Linked DNA regions of Saccharomyces cerevisiae S288C. The protein of the gene in region 1 purifies or fractionates together with the protein of each later gene. This does not show direct contact. Each region holds a gene or a part of one and is shown in the gene's direction. Other genes may lie near its edges. The genes, in order: ACO2 and NFU1.

Region 1 (4,833 bases):
TCTTTATATCGATGAATCAAAATTTTTCAGTGAGCCATTCATTCTTCGAGAAGCAGCGCAAAAAAAAACAAAAAAAAAAAAAACGGCTGTAGCTGCGGCGATATTGTGAGCGCCCCGCTTTAGGGCGACTTTACCCATAGTAAAAAGGGAAGACAATAACGAAATAAGAAGAGAAGAGAACCGTGGTTTCTCTGTTGCTTAGGATCATATACGCCTACAGCAAGGCACCTCTTTATGCGTATGCAGTCATACAAGGAGTGTGGAAATGCAGCACAGATGGCCTTCGCTGCTTGCCAGGCTGCCATTTTTCTTGGCTGCTGCCGCTACTACTGATTTTCTTACCTCTGCTAGAAACCAGTGGAAATGATTTATTCACAATCTAGCACCATGCAACATACATCCAAATCAGTGGAAATACGACATTATTAGCCGGCCCTTTACGTGCCAAAGGTAATAACAGTGAACGGGAGATGGGAAGCTTAATGCTGTTACCCGCTATCGGTTGTTGCTATGTAAACCAAATATAAATGCAAGCCAAAAAAAAAGGGTAACATAAGGTTAAGTAGGAGAAGGGAGATATTGAATGTATAAGGTGTCAGCATGTGGGGTGAGGATAATGAGTGGCATATCAGAAATTTGGATTGGCGAACTTAGAGATTACAAGTACGCTTTACGTCTTGATAGAGAAGAGTATCCAGCGGTGCTTGTTTACGAGTATGACTCGTCTTCTACTAGGAACTATCTTTTTACCATAAAGTACAGCGATCAGAGGCCGAACTGGCAGCTCATTACTCGTGACGCAGCTTTAACAGCTTACGACTTACTTAACAGAGGTGGCGAGTTCACAACTCTCAGCTTTCCGGGAGCCACTATTCACCGTTCAGTCAGTGAGCTGTCCCGATTGCATTAACAATATATAAGGGAGCAGAGCGAAACAATATGAGGTTCAGTAACATTTAAGGGTCGCTATTGAGTGTTTTGTGAGATATAAGTGAGTTTTGAGATAATTGTTGGGATTCCGTTGTTGATAGAGGCTACAATATTATGTATACAGAATATACTAGAAGTTCCCCTCGAGGATATAAGAATTCTCAAATGGAATCTATACATACTAATAATACGACTATTCCTCATTCCGTTTTCATATGTTTCGTTCCTATTACACTATCAATCCTTGCATTTTCAGCTTCCATTACATTTGATGACTGATTCTCAATCTTTATGTTATCTTTTTACACCACATGTGATAGTATACTACTAAACAGTATGCGGTAGCTATACTCTTTAATGAATGGGCGAAGCCTCCCTAGTATTTTATCTTGACATATCTAAAGGATTGCACAATATTGCGATTTGTTCTCCACAATGAAACCTTCTCAATAATTGTCCGATCATCCACCCATTTCTTAAGATGATAGACGATTCTTAGTCCAATAACATTGTATCCTTTACGTTCCGTAGAATATCATGTTGTTGATCCTCTTCTCAGCACAGTGCTTATTACTCTCACATCAACATCAAAAAAATTGCTTCATGATTAAAATGTTTGTGGAATATAACCGTTAAAATAGGTCAGGCAAATATAAAATAGAAGCTTCTATGGCCAAGTTGGTAAGGCGCCACACTAGTAATGTGGAGATCATCGGTTCAAATCCGATTGGAAGCATATATTTGATTTTTTAGCAATTAATTTTTTTTTTTTTTTTTTTTTCACGCTCTTGAGTCATCGCGAGTAAAATTCCACTGGAAAATTTTTTCAATATATACAAAGTTCCACAATATCATACAGCTCTCACATCGTAGATTATGTCAATAGATGGTATGGCATCAAACATGTATATAAACTAAAATATTTTCATCTTTTCGTATTATTCGATTTGCGCACTTGCAAAAATAAGAATTTTCGACTTTCTTTAAACATAAAACTCTAAGAGCAATAAGCAAGAGATTCGATGCTATCTTCAGCTAATAGGTTTTATATAAAGAGGCATTTGGCAACACATGCCAATATGTTCCCCTCTGTATCTAAAAATTTTCAAACAAAAGTGCCACCTTATGCAAAACTTTTGACCAACCTAGACAAGATTAAACAAATAACAAACAATGCTCCATTGACACTAGCAGAAAAAATTTTATACTCGCATCTTTGCGATCCTGAAGAATCGATTACTTCTTCTGATCTGTCCACCATCCGTGGTAATAAATACTTGAAGCTAAACCCAGACCGTGTAGCTATGCAGGACGCTTCTGCCCAAATGGCGCTTCTACAATTCATGACCACCGGTCTAAATCAAACATCTGTCCCAGCATCCATACATTGTGATCATTTAATTGTAGGTAAGGACGGTGAAACTAAAGATTTACCCTCTTCCATAGCTACCAACCAAGAAGTTTTCGATTTCTTGGAGAGTTGCGCAAAGAGATATGGAATTCAATTCTGGGGCCCAGGTTCTGGTATCATTCACCAGATTGTTTTGGAAAATTTCTCAGCTCCAGGTCTAATGATGCTAGGTACTGATTCCCATACACCAAATGCAGGCGGTCTGGGAGCTATTGCCATCGGGGTTGGTGGTGCGGATGCAGTTGATGCCCTCACAGGCACTCCATGGGAATTAAAAGCACCAAAAATTTTAGGTGTTAAATTGACCGGAAAGTTAAACGGATGGTCCACTCCTAAAGATGTAATCACAAAGCTCGCTGGTTTACTAACTGTCAGAGGTGGTACTGGTTATATCGTCGAGTACTTCGGCGAAGGTGTATCCACTCTATCTTGCACAGGTATGGCAACCATCTGTAATATGGGAGCTGAAATCGGTGCTACAACGTCAACTTTCCCTTACCAAGAAGCTCACAAGCGTTATTTGCAAGCAACTAATAGAGCAGAGGTCGCTGAAGCAGCTGATGTTGCTTTAAACAAGTTTAACTTCTTAAGAGCCGACAAAGATGCTCAATACGATAAAGTTATTGAAATTGACTTATCCGCAATTGAACCTCACGTTAATGGTCCATTTACACCAGACCTTTCAACCCCAATATCTCAATATGCCGAAAAAAGTTTGAAGGAAAACTGGCCCCAAAAAGTTAGCGCTGGTTTGATTGGATCATGTACCAATTCATCTTATCAAGACATGAGTCGTGTTGTCGACTTGGTCAAGCAAGCTTCCAAAGCCGGCTTGAAACCACGTATCCCCTTCTTTGTCACCCCTGGTTCAGAACAAATTAGAGCTACCTTGGAAAGAGATGGAATCATCGATATTTTCCAAGAAAATGGTGCCAAAGTTTTAGCAAATGCATGCGGCCCTTGTATCGGACAATGGAATAGGGAAGATGTCTCGAAAACATCAAAAGAAACGAACACTATTTTTACATCATTCAATAGAAATTTCAGAGCTAGAAACGATGGTAATAGGAATACAATGAATTTCTTAACATCCCCAGAAATAGTAACAGCGATGAGTTATTCTGGAGATGCTCAGTTCAATCCGCTAACTGACTCAATTAAATTGCCAAATGGGAAGGATTTCAAATTCCAACCACCAAAGGGTGATGAGTTACCAAAAAGAGGATTTGAACACGGTAGAGACAAATTTTATCCTGAAATGGATCCAAAGCCAGATAGCAATGTAGAGATTAAGGTAGACCCTAATTCTGATCGTTTGCAATTATTAGAGCCATTCAAACCTTGGAACGGGAAGGAATTGAAGACAAACGTGCTTTTGAAAGTTGAAGGTAAATGTACAACAGATCATATTTCCGCTGCGGGCGTCTGGTTGAAATATAAAGGCCATCTAGAAAACATTTCTTACAATACATTGATTGGTGCACAAAACAAAGAAACCGGTGAAGTCAACAAGGCTTATGACCTTGACGGAACTGAATATGATATTCCTGGTTTGATGATGAAATGGAAATCAGACGGTAGACCATGGACCGTGATAGCGGAACATAACTATGGTGAAGGTTCCGCAAGAGAGCATGCTGCTTTGTCACCAAGATTTTTAGGCGGAGAGATTCTTTTAGTTAAGTCTTTTGCAAGAATTCATGAGACAAACTTGAAGAAACAAGGTGTGTTGCCATTGACTTTTGCCAACGAATCTGACTATGATAAAATATCAAGCGGAGATGTTTTAGAAACGTTGAACCTAGTTGACATGATTGCTAAGGATGGTAATAACGGTGGTGAAATTGATGTTAAAATTACTAAACCAAACGGTGAATCGTTCACCATCAAGGCAAAACATACTATGTCTAAAGATCAAATCGATTTTTTCAAAGCTGGTTCAGCAATCAATTATATTGGTAATATACGAAGAAACGAATAAATTCTGAAGAGATATTAGCTAAAAATTAAGAGTCCGATTTAATAGTCATAAGCTAGTTTACACAATTCTATAGACTCTGCATATAGACGGTGCAAATAACCTACCTATTTATTTATTTATTTACTATAAAAAACGTAATATTGTTTGATATATAATATTATACACGAGATCTCGACTGCTTCAACTACGGCTTAACTCAAGGGTGGGGGGTATTTTGTTGTCGTATATGCAATATGTATGTGTTAAAAAGATACAATTATGTAAGTTACCACCTTTGTTTCATTTCATTCATTACTTGTAAACCTTGTAAACGTTCTTCGTACAATGCAGCTAGCCTGCTAACCTTGTTGCTTGCTTTAATATCTGAATATCCCTTTTGAGAGAATTTATCTGCTGTCTTTGAAGTAGTTTCATTTTTCTTCTTCTTTTCTTGTAGTTCTTTGTCGAACTTCTTAATCTTCGCGTTTTGGACGAGGGTTAAACTTTCAAACTGTTGTACGAATATATCTGT
Region 2 (3,139 bases), on another chromosome or scaffold:
TTGTCATGGATCTAATAATCATGTAGTAAAATATGATTAATGCAAGCGCCATAGGAATCAAGGTGATCAAGATTAGTGGAGATGGTGCCTCCATGTCGGTCAAATAACTTTGGATCAAAAATCCAATGCAAATTGCATAAGTTAACGCACCATACATTTGGCAACGCCTCATCAACGTTTTATTCAACTTAGGGTACACGATACCGTAGCCCAAAGCGATAATCAATAATAGGAAAAATGAAAATGTAACTTTACCAGCCGTCAATATCGACAAGAACACCATATAAACTTTTATTCCCGCAGTATCACCTTTTTCATTTTTCAAATCATAGTAAGCCCATACAAATATGGTTTCTGCGGTTAAAAATACAAAAAAGGCCAGCAAATACTTTTGTAATGGTAACAATTCATGCTTGTGCTTCCAGAAGGCGAAGGAATATAACGCCATCGCCACAACGTATGCGACCGCCAAAAGACCATATAGTGGCAATTTGTTGATCTCGGTGCCCGCAAGCTGACCATAAGCATTCCTGAAATTCACCACAGCGTTGAACTTGGTAGACGTCGATGATCTGAACGCAGTAACACAATAAAATCCGGTTTCTTTTATTGGGTATCTAGTATCATGAAGGCCGACCTCATTTTGAGAAAACGTCATGATTGGATTGGCCAAAGATCTATTTGTGGAAGTATATGGATCATATACAACATCTTGAACAATAAACTCATCACGATTCTCCTCTTCACAAATCCCGATATCAATTGCATAATCATCACAAATATAATACATTTCTTCATCCGGCAATTGCACACCTAAGTGCTCAAAGTCTTGGAAATCATAGATTGCAACGACTAAGCCTGGATCAGACTCATCACTCAATCCACTTATTTTTTTAAGATTGAATGATATAAACGGGTCTATTTTGCCCTTCCAATCTTCTTTGGAATACATACCTGCGCATACTTGATAATTCTTTTGACTTATCTTTTCCTTGTTAGCTTTTACGAACACTAGAAGGTAGCATAAGAAGCAGGTGAATAATTGGAAAGGTCGGCAAAACTGATATACTCTCATTGTGCCCTTACACTCTTAGTTTCTGTAAATTTACTGCCTTTTTACCAGCTGTTTCTTGAAATTACCGAGAAAATATTCTATTTCAATTTTTAACCTGCAAAACCTGAACAGAATAGTTGATCCTCTTGACTATTAGTTTGAGGCTAAGTTTTTTTTTCCACTCTCCCTATTCCTACTCCTATATATATCTTGCTCTATCTTTTTCTTCAAGTTCGTTTTTTCACACACTATTTAAAAGACCAAGCTTATGTGTGACGTGCACGGGTGCAATATCTAAATCGGGCAAAACAACTAAGCAGTAATTAAAGTACCACACTCTAGCCGAAAAGAGGTATACATGAAGGTTGAAGATTCGGAAGCAATTCCCAAATTATGTTCAACATTACGGATATTACAATGTTCAATGCGCATAATACACCATAGAAGAAAATTGGCACTACGTATATACTGTCCATTGTTCTTTTAAACACAAAATTGAAACGTCTGCGGTCTCTTGAGGATAAAACAATGTACATTGAGTATAGTAACATGCTAAGCGTTAGCTTGTATCATCAAGACCGTCAAAGCAGGCATTTCATCAAATCTATAGGACCACTTAGCGGAGTCCTGGTGATTGTAGAAATAGCCTTCTAACGTATCAAGTGATAAATAATTTAAGTTTTCCGAATTTCAGTGATCTACTTACAATATTGCTTATTAATCATTATAAAAAGAAGCGTATTTAGCGGACTAATTAGAATACATAAGGCATTCTCAGCGTAATCTAAGCAAAAAAGCAAGAAATTGACTAACAATGTTCAAATCAGTGGCTAAATTGGGGAAGTCTCCGATTTTTTACTTAAATTCTCAGAGATTAATTCATATTAAGACTTTAACAACTCCAAATGAAAATGCTTTAAAATTTCTCTCCACAGATGGCGAGATGCTACAGACGCGTGGCTCCAAGAGTATAGTTATTAAGAACACTGATGAAAACCTCATCAACCATTCCAAGTTAGCACAGCAAATTTTTTTGCAGTGTCCAGGAGTGGAGTCTTTAATGATAGGTGATGATTTTCTCACTATTAATAAAGACAGAATGGTCCATTGGAATAGTATCAAGCCTGAAATTATAGATTTGTTAACCAAGCAACTTGCTTACGGTGAAGATGTTATATCCAAAGAATTCCATGCTGTCCAAGAAGAAGAAGGAGAAGGTGGCTACAAAATAAATATGCCCAAATTTGAACTTACCGAAGAAGATGAAGAGGTCAGCGAATTGATTGAAGAGCTGATAGATACAAGAATAAGACCAGCCATCTTGGAGGACGGCGGTGATATCGATTACCGTGGGTGGGATCCAAAGACTGGAACCGTTTATTTAAGATTACAAGGTGCATGTACCTCATGCTCTTCTAGTGAAGTGACTTTGAAGTACGGTATTGAGTCCATGTTGAAGCACTATGTGGATGAAGTGAAAGAAGTGATTCAGATCATGGATCCTGAGCAAGAAATAGCATTAAAGGAATTTGATAAGCTTGAAAAAAAGTTGGAATCGAGTAAAAATACAAGCCATGAAAAGTAAATATTCCGTCCTTCAAATGAAAATACAAGATGAGACGAAAATAAAAGGAAGTGTGTATATACTGTCTTTACCCTCACTATTACTTGATAGTCCGTACATGTTTCAACGGTCATCATGGAAAAAGGGTAAAGCACTCAACTTTTTCCATACACTAAAAACGGGTGCCCTTTTTACTGTGTTATTCGTACCATTATTTATTCACTTATTTATTTATTTTCTTTGTACAGTCACAGTAACACTCTAGTTTTGCAAAGCTCTCAGCCTTTCACGCATTTCATTTACCATCCTATCTGCTTCCTCATCAACTTTTTCATCCGGAATTTCTTGCTCTTCTTCATTGGCTGCTAATTCTACGGTTGGCACTTGGTCAACATTCTTGAATTTCTCGTTTGTGTATTGTTCAACTATCTTATTAACTTCTTCATCAACAGCTTCGTCCATCTCTTCCCCTACGTCCCCAACACTCTCCATGGTATCATCCACCATTTCACTTATAATCC

The links.
Region 2: the proteins of ACO2 (region 1) and NFU1 purify together in Saccharomyces cerevisiae (affinity purification with mass spectrometry; 3 studies listed by BioGRID, with this or other methods). This does not show direct contact.

The regions. Positions count from the first base shown.
Region 1 is NC_001142.9:55,933-60,765, reverse strand, and holds ACO2 (aconitate hydratase ACO2), read left to right. Parts: upstream 1-1,952; coding exon 1,953-4,322; downstream 4,323-4,833. Other genes in the region: MBB1 (Mbb1p), read left to right, coding at 584-910; ECM25 (Ecm25p), read right to left, coding at 4,588-4,833. UniProt on the Saccharomyces cerevisiae protein: Catalyzes the reversible dehydration of (R)-homocitrate to cis-homoaconitate, a step in the alpha-aminoadipate pathway for lysine biosynthesis.
Region 2 is NC_001143.9:360,558-363,696, reverse strand, and holds NFU1 (Nfu1p), read left to right. Parts: upstream 1-1,868; coding exon 1,869-2,639; downstream 2,640-3,139. Other genes in the region: PTM1 (Ptm1p), read right to left, coding at 1-1,075; ESCRT-III subunit protein VPS24, read right to left, coding at 2,880-3,139. UniProt on the Saccharomyces cerevisiae protein: Involved in iron homeostasis within the mitochondrion where it is involved in the assembly of iron-sulfur proteins.